2 linked regions of the Stegostoma tigrinum genome follow. The protein of the gene in region 2 purifies or fractionates together with the protein of the main gene of each other region. This does not show direct contact. Links are inferred from orthologs where the notes say so. Each region holds a gene or a part of one and is shown on either strand. Other genes may lie near its edges.

Region 1 (8,084 bases), on a different chromosome or scaffold from region 2:
GTTACCAAACCTCAGGTGAGGGGAGTGGTTGTGAAGAAGAGACTTTCATTGTAATCTAAACAACTGCAGAAAATGAACCAAGACTCTAGCATCCATCACCAGCATTCAGCCAGAGCTAACTCATCCCCCTAACCTATATCCCTTTGTAGGGTCCTTATATCCTCTTTACAACTCACTTCCCTAAATAACTGTGCCATCAACAAACTCCAATACCATACCTTTGAACCCATCATCCAAATCATTGAATAAGTGTAATCGGTTGATGCTTAAGCACTGAACACTGTGACACACCACTTGTTCTAAAAAACATCCACTTACTCCTACTGTTTGCTTACTGTTAGCAAGCCAATCCTCTATCCATGCCAAGTATGTTACCTTTTACACCATGAAGTTTCATTTTCCATAATAACCTTTGATGTGGCATCTCAAATGTTTTCTGGAAATCCAAATCAGTACATCCACTGATCTCCTTTGTCTTTAGCATGTGTTACCTCTTTTAAAAAATTTCAATAAATTTAGTTAAATATGATTTCCCTTTGACATGACGATGTTGGCTCTGCTTGATTACCCTGAACTTTATTTGGGCCCATTCTACAATCTTTAATAACAGCTTCTGAGATTTGGCACATGACAGTTAAGCTAAATGACTTGTCATTTCCTGCTTTCTGCCTCTCTGCCTAGATAATAAAAGGAGTTACATTAGCTACTTTCCAATCTAAAGGAACCTTCCCTGAATCTATTCGATTTTGAAAAATTAAAATCAATATATCAAGTATTTCAAATCCCAGTAAAGAGGCCAGAACATCCTCCATCCCAAAACTGTGAAAATCAATTACCAGGACATTTCATTTCCTAAAGCCCTGGTTATCAGAGACCAGAACATTCCATGCCACCAAAACCTTGGGGATTAGAGGTCTGATGATCTGATATCAAAACCTATGGTTCACTAACCAGAACATCTTACACCCCAAAACCCAGAGATTCTACACCACAAAACCCTAGGGATGAAATACCTGAATATCCCACAATCCAAATCCGTTTGGATCAGAGGCCAGAACAACTTGAAGCCCTGAACTGCCTAACGCCAAACATGGGAATCAGAGCTCATGACACCTCTGCTGCCAACCATGGGCATTACAGCCTAGGTCACACCCCCCCAATCTTGGGGTCAGTGGATCGACCTCCTCCAATTTAACAGTCATGGAGGTTGGGTAAACCCCATCTCGTTCTTTTCCTCAAAAGGGGCGCATAACTGACCGTGTTAATTCGGGAATATTCTCTTCAACTCCCTTCGCTGTAGCGCCTGTTCCTTTCAATCATAAGGTGAGCAAACACTCCAACTTAAAGACAGGAATGCGGGCAAGCGGAGTTTAGTCAACTGCAAAAGAGACGGGGGAAGAGAGAGAAATCCGTCCCCAAAACAGAAACAAACCAACAAACCCGCCGCCAATAGCAGCCTGCCCAGGACTGTGTACATTGGGAATTTGAGGCTGTCCTGGGGCTGTTGTGAGCCCGGGCCTGGGTGGATCCATTCCACACGTGTCGAGATTGGAAGATGCTGCTGATCGCATTCGTCCTAGAGAACCGCCTCAGCTCAGATCGCGGGCTTCACACTTTAAGCCCAGCTCCCCTCGGCCCCCTCCCAGAGCACTTCAATCCCGCGGTACACAGGATCTCCCCGATCAAACAACAAGCCTCTCGATTTACAGGTACAAACCACGCTGCTTTAACAACAAAAAAGAAATCGGCAGGAAATGCAAACTCCCGCCATGCCTTTACAAGCAAAAGCGCACGGGAGGCATCAACAACAACAAAAAGGGTTTTTATTGTCTGGCGCTTCTCTCCGGATGAAATCGCCAGTGGGAAAACAAGCGGTCCGGCTCCTCCTCCCGGGCGATGTTGACACCGGAAAGCTGAACACGTTCCGTACCATTTAAACATTCGGGAGTTGAAAAAGCAAGGCGTTGCTGAGGTTTAAAAGTCAGACCTTCTTACCCATTTCGCGTGAGAGAGAAAGGCCGGTGCTCAGCTCTGCGTCCTGCAAGCCCAGTTCCAACGTGCCGCTCTCCCCCGCTCCGGTGGAAGATCCTGGAGCACCGGGCGAGACGGGTACAAAATAAAATAAATCCTCTCCCGCCGATGGCACTTCACTACCTCCGCTGTACTGGCTGAGCCTCGATGTTTACCCAGCTCCCCCCCCCCGCCGCCAAAAAAACTTGACTGCTTGCAGCCTGTGGGCTTTCAGAGTGGAGTCGAGGCCAGGGACAATCCACCCCTTCGATGTCACCTACTTTACCCTGCCCTCTCAATTACCCTGGAAGAAAAGAGACTCGTCCCGTGAAAGAGGAGGTGCATGAGGGATACCCCTCATGCCGAGCCTGCCCTTTCCAGGACTCCGATGGAAGCGCGGCTGCCACTGAGGTGCTAATTTCTGCAGCTCCTCCCTGATGGCCGACTTCCTGCCCTCTCAGTACCCCAACCCCGCACGCTTCTCCCCTTTTTCTGATCTCACGCTTGCCTTACACTGCCCTCTGCCTCGGGGAGGCTGCCCGGACCTGATCTCGCCGCCCCCAAGCACTTCCCTGCTCTCAACCCCCCCTCCCTCTCCGTCGTCCGGCTGCTGCAGCTGGCGGCACCGCCGCCGCCTCCTTGTGGCACGCTGTCACGTGCTCGGGGCCTGCCTTATTTTTCTCCCCTTACGGCCCACCCGCCCGTCGACCGTTGCACCTCGGGAAGGTGGAGGAGTCGGGCGGGAGAGGCCGCGCGCGTGCGGCGAAGAAACGAAAATCTCCGGCGCGCGCCCAACTCACGCCCTCCGTGGGCTCAGCCTGCACCCCGCGCACCCCGGCTTCTTCACCTCCTTCGCGCACGACACCGCGCCGAGAGCGAAACTGAAGCGGGTTTGGTTGGAGGGAGAAAAATACTAATCGCAACCACCCCCTCAATCTGTGTTATGTTTTCTCATCGCTCTCTCCTCCCCCTCCCCCAAAACCCCTACACTGTCACGACTGTCCCGTTGACACGACCACCCCCTCCCACACCACCAGTGACTTATGTTTCTTCCGCTCCAACACATAGCCCTGCGTGTGACCTAACGGCTCGACACATGCGTGCGCACTGACGTTTGCGGCGGTACCGCGCGTGCGCCGTGGGCCGTTTGGGTGGCGGCGGCTCCTGCGCCTGTACCTGCGCCGACGTTTTCCCCCTTCCCCTTGCGACGCCCCGCAGCATTCACGCCGGCACGCATGCGCGGCCCGGGATGGGCCCGAAGCCCTCACGGCCCATGAGGCGCGTGCGCGGAGGTGGGGTTGTTTGGGGGTTGACGCTGGATTTGGGGCGAACCTCGCTGCCTCGAGGACGGAGGAGGCGTAAAGGGATTGCTGGGTCCTTGTGCGCATGTGTACCTCCCTAGGTCTAAATGTAGCAATCCCGGAGGATTCTGCAACAGGTTAACGCTGCAGCGGCACGGAGACCCATGGTGATGGGGGATGCAAGTCATTTCACCTCCCCTCCCCAGCAGATAGACCGGCTGTTGGTGGGGGAAGAGCGTTTTGTACCAGGGTCGGAAGCACTTGCGCTGGAACAATCCTGGCAGCGTTGCCACAAACCTATTGCAGCTCTTCACGCTGCTTATTCACCAGGCAGCAAAACGGCAGACCGCGCCCAGCACCTACACACAAGTCACCTCCATGCATATAGTGGTTCGTGTGTGCATGTGCACCTTCGTTTGCCAAACGTTGTTCTTCCATCTTGAAAATAATAAAGTACACCACTCCTTTGCGATCGCTATTCCGCCGTCACGTTGGGATGTGTCGGCGGTCCGTCAAAGGCGTCATGGACCGTGAATGTTTTTTTTGAGATGCCCGTGTGTGATTAAACGAGATGATGTTGATCCTGGGTTTTATCTTGCCCGCCTAAAGTCATTTAACCTTTCTTGAAGATATTTCCACGGCACAAACCTACGTTTGCATTCTGACTTTTTATCAGTTGGCAGTTATAGTGAAAAGTAACAATACGAAGAAGGCCGATCAGCTCCATATTCCATCAATTTTGCGCAGACATGTTGATTTAGCCGTGGCTATAAAATTCTCAATCTTCGCCCATGGCGATATATTTGGGTTTAGGGAATCTATTATAGATCTCAAAACGTACACAAACATACATATTTCAATCATTGAATAAGTTATAGTTTTGTAACATATTCTAAATGAATATAACAGGAAAGCAAATGTTTGTCGAGTTTACCCATAAAAAAGGTAAGAGTAAGAAAGGTTAGATGCAACTCTAAGGCTTTGATCTGAAGACACCAGAGTACAATGTACCATTTTGGGTTTCTTATCTCGGAAACAATGCAGTGTCCTTGCCTTACACTACCACCATTCTGTCATGACAGGGTTGCCATATGAGGCATAGTAGTTCTCTTTTTGCAGTCCCTCAGGGTTGAGGATAACATCCTTGCACTTGGGGGCGGTATATGCGTTGGTTGAATCGTCCAATCCTGGAGCTGCAGACTCTGCCATAGCGGACCAGGTGCTGTTTGAGAAGGTATGTAGATGGGAGCGATCAGGTATCTGTAACAATTTCTCTGCCCTCCTGGTGTTCACTTACCACTGTGGAGCTAGGAGTAGAACGCTTGTTTAGGGTGTCTTATATCTGGGCATACAGACAATATTGCTTGCTCATCGCAGCAGTGCCTTAACACTAGGGTTGTGAGGGAGAACACCCACTTTAGTTCACTTATCCTGCCAGTGGATTTGCAGGATTTTGCAAAGGCAGCCCTGGTGAGAACTTCAGGCTGAACATTGTCCATGTTTTCGGTACATACAGGAGGGTGGGGTCCACAGCTGCTCCGTTGACCATGAACTTTGTGCTGGGTTTCAGGTCTCGAACTTTGAACACTCTGTTCCTCAGGCATCCAAAAGCTGTACTGGTGCATTGGAGCCAATGTTCAATTTTACTGTCAATGTCATAGCTCACAGTAAGAAAAGGATACCGAGATATGGGAAATGAGCCATATTGTCACCATGGGTTTGCTGGTCAGAGGCCCTGTTGTGTGGCGGGAGCAGGCTTGTAGAGAACCTTTGTTTTCTGGATATTTACTATAAGGCCTAGTCTCTTGAATGCCTCGGTGAATATGATGGTGTTGGTTCACAGCATGGCCTCCAATGTGCACAAACACAAGCGTGATCTACATACTGTAACTCGATTAACTTGATGACAGAGATTGGGGTGGTCTTGGTTCTGGCCTGCAGGCAATGAAGGTTGAACAATTTCCTGTTTGTGCTGTAGGTTAGCCCCACTCTGACGGGCAGCTTCATAGAGATGGAGACCAGCAGTGGTGTGTTGATGCTGCCCTACTTGATCCCTGTTTGCACATGTATTAAATCTGTGGTGGATCCATTTTTAAGGGTTACAGCTTGCAAATCATTCTGAAGCAGACGGAGAACGGTGACGGATTTCCACAGGTGGCCGAGCTTGAAGAGGATATCCCTCACCATTGTCAGAGATTTGTGCTGATTGAAGAAGGCCGTGTACAGCACTTGGTGCTGTTCCCTAAACTTTTCCTGGATTTGTCATGTACTGAGAATTGTTTCCATTGTCCCTTTTGATGGGTGGAGGCTGCATTGAGTCTCGGGAAGGAGATTTTCAGCCACTGGCAGAAAGTGGTTGAGGAGGATTCATGCAATGACCTTCCTCATGGCAGACAGTAGATATATCCCTCTGTAATTTCCACGCTTGGACCTGTCTCCTTTCTGGAAAATGATCACAATTATGACATCTCTGAGATCCTCCAGATGCTTTCCCTCCTCCTTGACCAGGACGATGAGGTCAAGAGTACCTCCCAGCCATATTTTAGCATAATCGTGTGATGAGAAAGTTGTCCTATGAGTAGCAGTAGACTGAGCTTTGATTCTGGTGAGTTTAGGAACAGGAGAGGTTTTCTTACTGCAATATATATACATTTTTAGAGGGCCTCTCAGTTGACACATAGTTGTTTACCCAGCGGAAAGAATTAAAGGCCTAAGTCTCAGGATGAGGGATTGACTATTTAGAGATTTGAAGAAGAATGAATTCTTTATTCATGATTGTGAATCTTTGGAGTTTTCTACTACAGGGACTCTGGATGCTCAGTTATTGAATATATTCAAGACTGAAACTGACATTACTCAGCATGAAGAGAGTCAGGGACATTGGGTTAGGACAGGAAGGTGGAGCTAATGTAAAAGTTCAGTTATGATCTTATTGAATAGTAGATCAGATTCTAAGATCTATGTGGCATTGTTGTTATTTCACATGTTCTTAAAACCTCAAATCATGTAATTAGTTTCCATTCTATAAGTTACTTCTAGTGTAATGGAACCTCTGGCAGAAGTTTGTAATGGTGAAGAAGGGTTACTTAGACTAAGGTACAGTGAAGTGTCAATGATGCACCTATGTGTGAGATCCAAACCAGGTCTAGAGAGTGTTGTCTCACCTTTGCTCTCTATCTCGAAAGAAGACCTCAGACAGCTTCAGCTGACAAACATGGGCACCAGGAGACTGTGCCATTCCTACAACAGCCACTAGCTAATGGATGAGTCCAAACTGGCTTGACAACAGTGTGAGGTGTTGGAAAAGAATCAGGGAGGAGGCTGGAGTCCTCTATCGGATGGATCATTGTCAAGGAGAGGTGAAACAACTCGTCAAGCATTGTTGGCACATTACGGTTACTGATGTCGACTGTTTTAATTGTGCGAATTGTACTTTGGTCAAACCTGGGAAACAAATTTGCCCAGCAAGCCATCTCTGGTCTCAAGAAATCTCTAGAAGTGCTTTCAATAGAATTTGTGGTCCTTCACTCCAGTTGATAGGACTGAGTGTGTTCTCATATTCACAGAAAACTCCGGGAAGTTCACACATGACCAATAGGTGTCAATTATAGCCGGAATGTTAGTAGGTGATTTCAGTATTTGACGTCAGATTCACAGTGACTGGAGCACAGCTTGAACAGCAAGATCCTCTGGTTGCTTTGCAATGTCTGTGGCATAGCCAAGAGCTGCACCACCCATCCGCCCACCCCACTCCTTCATCCAGTGGGTAAAGGACAATGTAAATGATTCAACTTTTATCTGATGATTGTCTATACACCTTGCCTCCTTGCTTCCTTCAAATCCCTAAATCATCAATCCCACATTCTGAGACTTAGGCCTTTAATTCTTGATTCTTTCAGCTGGGTAAACAACTTTGTGTCAATTGAGAGGGCCCCTAAGAATGAAAGTGGCCTGAAAGCCCTCTGGAGCTGATTTATGCTTATAAAACCCCACACTCACTCACAGGCTGTTCTCCATGCTGCTTCTTCTTTGAATGAGGTCCAGTCTTTCTTGTGGGCCATCTCCTTGGGCTCCCCACACCTTCCGATGGGGATGGTCAGGTGGATAGCCAAGCATCACATGAGGCTGAGCCAGACATTCGAGATGGTATCCAAGAGGACTGAGAAGAAAAACATCGAACAATTGCAAGGTTGACAGGACTGAACTTCCAATCTGTGCAAGCATATTCCTTCAGAATTGGAAAGCCGGGGTGTGAATAACATAAAGAATGTCTGGAACCCTGAACCCTGCAGAATCATCAATTGCTTGGACACAGGTAGCCACAGCTATGTTGTTGAACTGATAGCTGGAGGCAGCCTGAGAAAATGGCTCACAGAGGACGGTTGCTTGAGACTAGGTGTCGGGGTAGATGATGTGGAGGAAACAGCTCACTCAGGGGAAAAGTGAAACCTTAACTGTTGATGCATGATGGCTTGAGTGGAGTTGGAATCCTGGTGTGTCCTGTGTGTTATGAATCCAGGGGCTACGCCCGCATTGTTAAGTCTATCTTGGAAGAGGGGGAAGGGATGCCCTTTCTGGAGGCAAAAGTTGAAGCAACGTGCACCACACAACTCCTGAGAACTGACCGACTTAGTACGTCTGTAGTTACAGGGACAGCAAGTGACTTCTAGTGTAATGGAACCTCTGGCAGAAGTTTGTAATGGTGAAGAAGGGTTACTTAGACTAAGGTACAGTGAAGTGTCAATGATGCACCTATGTGTGTGAAACTATGTA
Region 2 (7,293 bases):
TTCCCTCTCCCCATCCCCCTCTCTGGCGAAGGGTCTAGGCCCGAAATGTCAGCTTTTGTGCTCCTAAGATGCTGCTTGGCCTGCTGTGTTCATCCAGCTCCACACTTTGTTATCTCGGGTTCCCCAGCATCTGCAGTTCCCATTATCTCTGAATCTAATAGAGCCTGGTTTGTTGTTGCCAAACAGAAAGACTAGTAGGTCATTCAACAACTTGGATCAGTTTCAGAATTCCGTTCACCTGACTTGACTCCATATCATTTTATACTGTTGTCTGGTAAAAACCCATTATCTCCAATTTAACTATTAATAAAGGATCAAATACCACATTTCTAACACCCTACCAGGTAGAAATGCTTTCTAATTTCTCTTGCGAATACCCAGCTCCAATTTTGGGATTATGTCCTTACCCACCAAGGGGAATGATTCTCTGTGTCTATGTCCTTCATTCATTCCAAAATCATTAAAATATGAATGCACTCACTGCCTTGACCTAATATATTCTTGGGAATACAAGTCTAGTCTATCTAAGCATCCTTCATAATTTAACCCTTGGAGCCCTGACAAGACACTGCTGAATCTGCACAATTCTGTGTCCTCTAATTGTTAAGCCTTCAGTCATTAGAAAAAGTTTCCCCATTATTAACTCTTTGTAAAGTCTTCATTTTAAACGTCTTTCTGAAGCTAAATTCTTTCCGAGGTATGACGTTAAGAATTGTACATGGTACTCCAGATGTGGTCCAACCAAGGCTTTGCAGAGATACAGTTCAACTTTTGCTCTTTTATATCCTACAGCTCTAGCTTTAAAATATAACATTTGAATTTTTTTGTCCTTGCTGACCCTAATTTATTGATGTGTGTATATAGGTCTCTTTGGACCTCCACTGTTCCTAGTTAATCATCACTTTAGCAATATTCAGATCCATTATTTTCAGTTGGTTTAAGATGGAAGCCCTTGCCCTTGCTTGTGCTGAAATCCAAAACATCAATATTTATTTTCCTGAGTTTCCTGGTCTCTAATTCCTTGTCCACAGTAAAAACTGATGATAAATACTTGTTTCGTATCTCTTCCATCTCCTGTGGTTCCATGCATAGACAACCTTGTTGATCTTAAAGGGGCCCTTTTCTCTCCCTTGTTGTTCTTTTGCTGTGAATTTATTTGCAGAATCTCTTTGGACTATCTTCAGCCTTATCTGTCAAGGCTATCTCATATTCCCTTAATGCCCTCCTAATTTTCCTCTTAAGAATGCCCCTACAACCCTTACACTGTTCTAGAGATTCACTTGATCTCAATTGTCTATATCTAATATATGACGCCTTCCTAAACATGACTTGAGCCAAATATCTTTAATCATCCATGGTTCCATACTCTTACCATCCTAACTCTTCACTCTGAAAGGAACATAATGCCCCTGAAATAACAAGGTGTAGAGATGGATGAACACAGCAAGCCAAGCAGTATCAGAGGAGCAGGAAGGCTGACGTTTCGGCCATAGACCCTTCTCTTATTATCTCAGATTCTCCCAGCATCTGCAGTTCCTACTATCTCTGAAACAATAATGCCTCTGAATTCTTGTTATCTCACTTTTGAAAGCCTCCCATTTGTCAGTCATCCCTTTACCTGTGAACAGTCTACTCGAATCAATTCTTGAAAATTCCTGTCTCATACCATCAAAATTTGCTTTATTCCAATTAATAACTTTAATTTTTATAAAAGGCCAATCCTTTTCCATAACTATTTGAAAACAATTAAAACTGTGATCACTGGTCCCAAAGTACTCCCCTAGTAACACTTCAGTCACTTGCTCTGCCTTATTTCCCAACAGAAGGTCATGTTTTGCTCCTTCTCTAGTAGGTACATACACATCAATAAAGAAAATTTTCTTCAATACATGTAACAAATCCCTCATCATCTAAGTCCTAACAGTGAATACACTCCACCCCTTAATTATTGCATACCTTATTACTGCTTCATTTCTATTCTGACCCTCTGCTCTTGGGATGGCATCCTCTTCTACAGTGCCTAGTTTAGGACATTCCTGCCAGCAATGTTCACTTTAGCCTCACAGTGTCAACTACATTTTCTCTGAGATAATGGGAACTGCAGATGCTGGAGAATCCAAGATAATAAAGTGTGAAGCTGGATGAACACAGCAGGCCAAGCAGCTTCTCAGGAGCACAAAAGCTGACGTTTTGGGCCTCGACCCTTCATCAGAGAGGGGGATGGGGAGAGGGATCTGGAATAAATAGGGAGAGAGGGGGAGGCGGACCGAAGATGGAGAGAAAAGAAGATAGGTGGAGTGGAGAGTATAGGTGGGGAGGTAGGGAGGGGATAGGTGAGTCCAGGGAAGACGGACAGGTCAAGGAAGTGGGATGAGGTTAGTAGGTAGGAAATGGAGGTGCGGCGTGGGGTGGGAGGAAGGGATGGGTGAGAGGAAGAACAGGTTAGGGAGGCAGAGACAGGCTGGGCTGGTTTTGGGATGCAGTGGGGGGAGAGGTCTAGGCCCGAAACGTCAGCTTTTGTGGTCCTGAGATGCTGCTTGGCCTGCTGTGTTCGTCCAGCTTCACACTTTATTATCTTACATTTTATCTGTTGTGCAAGACTTCCTCTTCTTCTATCTAAACTAGGTTCACCTTACTCTACTGGCTGGCACTTTTCTGAGACGTGGCTACACTCTATGGAAAACTAGCCAGAACCTCCCTTCCTCTCTTGTCAGAATTTCTGCTGGAGTCTCTCAATACAGATGTGACAGAGGAATCCCACTGCCCACAAATTCCCACATATCAGTCCTGACACGTGGCCATGTCAAGCTTTTATTTACTTGCTAGTAATAATTTAGTTCTAGATAGAATTGCTTGACTTCGATTGTAGAAAAGATTAATTCAGCTTGATTTCAAGTCATTTTTGTTTTTATTGATTTCTTTTTTTTTGTTTTCTAACAATTTATTATTTATTATTTAAGGAGACGAGATTTTAAATATGCAATTCGGATCTCTAAATTTAAAATGCTTAATTAGTTGCAGATTGGCCCCCTCTGAGCTGACTGCAATGTAAAGTTAGCGCTCCCTGAAGATCACTGCCAGTATAACAGCTCCAAGAGCAACTTTTTCTGCTGTAATAAAACGAGAGAACAGCAGAGAGCAGTAACGTCGAAACATTTAAACAGGTTTAAACAGGCTAAAAATGTGTTATTTTATTCAGAAATACCCATCCTTTTACACGTGTTACAAAATTATTATGATCATTCGGAATTGTCAATTCAACAAAGTGTGAATTAGAGCAATAAAAATCAGAGCTAATGAAAATACAGGTGGGAATGGAGTTTAAGTCCTAGACTTTGGTGTGTATTTTCTAATGGTCCTATTATGCATCATATTGAATATAAGCTCTATATTTAGTGCAGTTGAAGTGTTGAAGTAATGATAATTTTAATAAGAGAATGAAAAATGCCAAAAGTAATTTTAAGAAAAGACTATGTTTCAATGTATTATCAGAGTTGATGAAAATATAGATGGGAGCAGAGTTTAAATCCTAGACTTTGATGTGCACTTTTCTAAGGGTCCTTTTATGCATTCCTATTAATTAAATTAGAGCCAGCATTTAGAGCAGCTGAAGTGTAATAATAATGATAATTTTAAGAAGAGAATGAAAAATGCCAAAAGCAGTTTTGAGAAAAGACTATGTTTCACTGTGTTAACCAGGCTGCACTGCAACGTCTATTCACAGGCGCGATCCGACTACTGATGGGCACGGGGGTTTTGACCTGCTCCGTTTCCGACCTGGGCCGATTCACCCCTCTTTACCCGACCTGGTGAACCCGGATTCCTCCAGGGACACCATATCGATGCCCAACTTAGTGAGGACACCTGATCGGCATAGTCCGCAGCAGCCCAGAACTCCTGGTCTCAAGCAATCCGATAGCCTCAGCCTCCGAGTCGCCGGATTACAGGCGCACGCCACCGCGCCCGGCGAATACTGCTGCTGCTCAAAAGATACTTCAACCCAACGTCACAAAGCCTTGTGTGTGATGTAGGCACGTCATTCATCTGTGGAGGCGGTGCCACGGCCAAGGGCCCGCGTTCTACTCATCCATATTCATAGAGGAGGCGGGTTTTGTAGGTCGGGCGGGAAAGGCGAGCAAAGCTGGCAGCTATCGGCTGGCGCATGCGTCGGAATGCCGCCGGTGGGCGGGTTGGCGCATGCGCCGGGATGCCTTTTGGGCCTGCGTGGCAGCGTGTTGTTGTGTGTGGCGGGGGAATAGCAGGAGAGGAGCAGGGAGGCGACGGGTGGGAAGCGAGGCGGTTTCGTCTCAGAGCAGTTCCGTGTAGGATTGGCAGTACCAGGGGTGGGGGAAGGGGGTGAGACAGTAACAAACATCAGCGCCACCCCCCTAGCCCCCAGCAATGGAGGACGAGAGCAGCTCCCGGGTAACCTCAGCGCCCAGATCCAGTGAGTCTGACTGAGCCCTGGCACCAGGCTCTCATCTGTCTGTTTAACTGTCTTTGTCTATCTCCAAGTTCCCCCCGTCTCTCTCTCTCTCTGACACACACGCACACCCTCCTGTCCCCTCTGTGTTTACATGTAACACTCCCAGTCCTTCCACAGCATCAAGATGGCACTGCTTCTTCCTAGGGCCTCGATCAGCTTCATTAGAGATCATCCGGACAACCTTTTCTGTTTCTTCCCACCCCCACGCGAAAAAGTATCCACCCTTGCCAAACTAAATAAATCCAAATCGTGTTTTTTTTAAAGAAAGACGGATCCACGTGCACGTGTGCAGGACACTGTTTACCAATGTTTACTCCACCGTGTATTCGAATCTGGGCCAGACTAGGTTCCATTGAAATTCATTACAAAGGGAATTAAACGGAAGTCAGGGTATGGGCTAAAGGAATGTATGAATAAATAACACATTTTGTTTGGACGTTTGTCTTCTGCAATGTATTGGGCCTGGACTTGGGACTACACTTCGAAGTTATACTAAGAACAATTACCTCTAGTAATTGTGATTTACTTGAGGCTTAGTTTTAATTCGACTCAGGTCTTTACGATGTTTTAAAAATTTGCTAGGTTGTCAAAATGTAATGTATTCCACTTAACTTAATTGTCAGGAATTTTATGCCTGAATTTATTTCATTTGCATGCATGCAAATTATTTTCTAGAATGCACACTAAACAAATTACAATGCCTGCTGCTAACTTTATATGTCATTTCCAGCACTGTTTAATGGCCTATCAGAAACACATTTAGCACAATACAATATACTTTTGGCAGTAGATGAGAAAGGATGTCCTAAATGTTAAGTTGTAACAAACTGTTGAAATGATCATTTACACTTTCATTGTTTAGTCCAAGCGATGGTTTTTATGTTGATTCCTGTCCAAACCACACATTCATTTCCTGACCCAGTACCAGTGCAGGTGTCCCATGAAAATGGAATACATTCTACCGTGTCAATGCAGATTGTTTTATTTTAGAAGACCAAAATACGAAAGGACTTAAAGCTGTCATCACAAGTACATATATGGCCCCAGGAAGCCGCTGTGAAGTGATAGATTCCCACACCCTTTAATTACCTGTTCACCAACTCAATCTGCTCATTTGTTTCTAATCTATTAGGCTAATTTTGCATGTGGTTCATGTGTTAGGTTAGATTATTGCCTTCACAACAATGTTTTATTTTAGCATATAGTTCCTGGTACTTACTCGCAGAACAAAGTTCTGAAATCCGTTCACTGCACTGATTCTAATAGCTTGTGCATTTCTGGTTTCAGTCACATTACTTTTGACTACGTAAACCTGTAATTTTGTGGCATAACCTTTCAACCTTAGTGCCTCTGTCCTCTTAAAATGCTCCATAAAACCTGTTTCTCTGACCAAGCTTCTAGTTAACTGCCCTAATATTTCCTTAAGTGACTCATCAAATTTGCTTTAACTACATACATTTGACACTCTTTGGGACATTTTGCTTTGCTAAAATTTAGGGTTAGGAAATAAATGAAAATTGCAAATTGTTATACTGTCTGCCAAAGTGTAAAATTACTAAAATAAACATGTATAAAACAAACATCTTAGTTCCACAATATTAACATGCGATTTCTAAATGGCATTTTTGGAGTAGGTTTTATGAGAATTGACAATACAATTCTCTATTTTTCTATTAGTCATACATCCATTACACATTTCAGTTGCATTTTTATCAAATTTTATTTCAATAATACCAGCATTTCTGTTTTTAAGATTGAAAGTTAATGTTGTTTTCCTGTTTTGTAACAGCAAAAAAGCCACGTTTTGATGTGTCCCTAGTGCATCTAACGCAACAGTTTATGGAACTTGTGAAGGAGGCACCTGATGGCGTCCTTGACATGAATGATATTGCAAAGATGCTTGGGGTGCGAAAGCGAAGGGTTTACGATATCACCAATGTACTTGATGGGATTCGTCTTGTGAGAAAAAAATCAAAAAATTTAATTGAATGGATGTAAGTCATTTTTACACTTCCTGTAAATTGATTTATTTTATAAAATTCACTGGTATTCATTCAGGCATATCTCTACATGATTTTGTGTTCATTATAAAGGTGGGCTCAAGAGCATGATATGTGATTCTCAAAATAATTTTCGATGAAAATTGAATTTATTTTTACTTTGACGTGAATGCAGCTTTCAAGTGGAATCCCATAGTTATCAGTGAAATTGTATTGTAAATATTTTTGCATGCTCTGAATCCAGATTTGAATTCAGGCTAGGCTGGTGAGATGCAAGTTTCATTTTCTGTCCTGTACCCACTGCTGCTGAAGTCCACAAAAATGTAATTTGGGCCATCCATTAGAATTCTTAATTTGTATGTCTGCAATACAGATTACTAAAGTATTGCCTTTTTACTTTAAAATAATTCTTATTTTCCAGTCCAGTCCCTCCACAGCCTGGTTCCTTGTTACCTCTGTGACCACCTACACTGCCCAGCCATCCAAAGATGTCTGTACTCCTCTAGTTCTGTCCTCTCAAATTTAGTTGCTCTGTCATTAGACAAGCTTTCAGCTGCTTATAATAACAAAATGAAATATTCACAAAACATGTTTGCAGCTCGAAGGTTGAATTGCAGTGCAACTGCATCGAAATAGTCATATAATGACTATGTAATCAGGTTAATAATGTAATAATCGTATGACAACAAAAGTAAAGAGACAGATTTCAGCAAACAACAGGAATGTATTAAACAGGATATTACAACATAAAATTGAATTTTAAAATTACACTAAAATTAGAAACTAATTTTATTATAGGTACATATT

What was found. The genes of interacting proteins can lie anywhere in the genome.
Region 1: the proteins of e2f6 (region 2) and mgaa purify together in Homo sapiens (affinity purification with mass spectrometry; 3 studies listed by BioGRID and IntAct, counting the BioPlex papers as one, with this or other methods). This does not show direct contact. The link is inferred for Stegostoma tigrinum from reciprocal best matches to the Homo sapiens genes E2F6 and MGA.

What each region holds. Positions count from the first base shown.
Region 1 is NC_081363.1:79,772,830-79,780,913, reverse strand, and holds the start of mgaa (MAX dimerization protein MGA a), read right to left. Parts: upstream 3,004-8,084; 5' UTR 1,996-3,003; intron 1-1,995. UniProt on the Homo sapiens protein: Functions as a dual-specificity transcription factor, regulating the expression of both MAX-network and T-box family target genes. Functions as a repressor or an activator.
Region 2 is NC_081357.1:114,882,865-114,890,157, forward strand, and holds the start of e2f6 (transcription factor E2F6), read left to right. Parts: upstream 1-4,212; 5' UTR 4,213-4,401; coding exon 4,402-4,447; intron 4,448-6,275; coding exon 6,276-6,480; intron 6,481-7,293. UniProt on the Homo sapiens protein: Inhibitor of E2F-dependent transcription. Binds DNA cooperatively with DP proteins through the E2 recognition site, 5'-TTTC[CG]CGC-3'. Has a preference for the 5'-TTTCCCGC-3' E2F recognition site.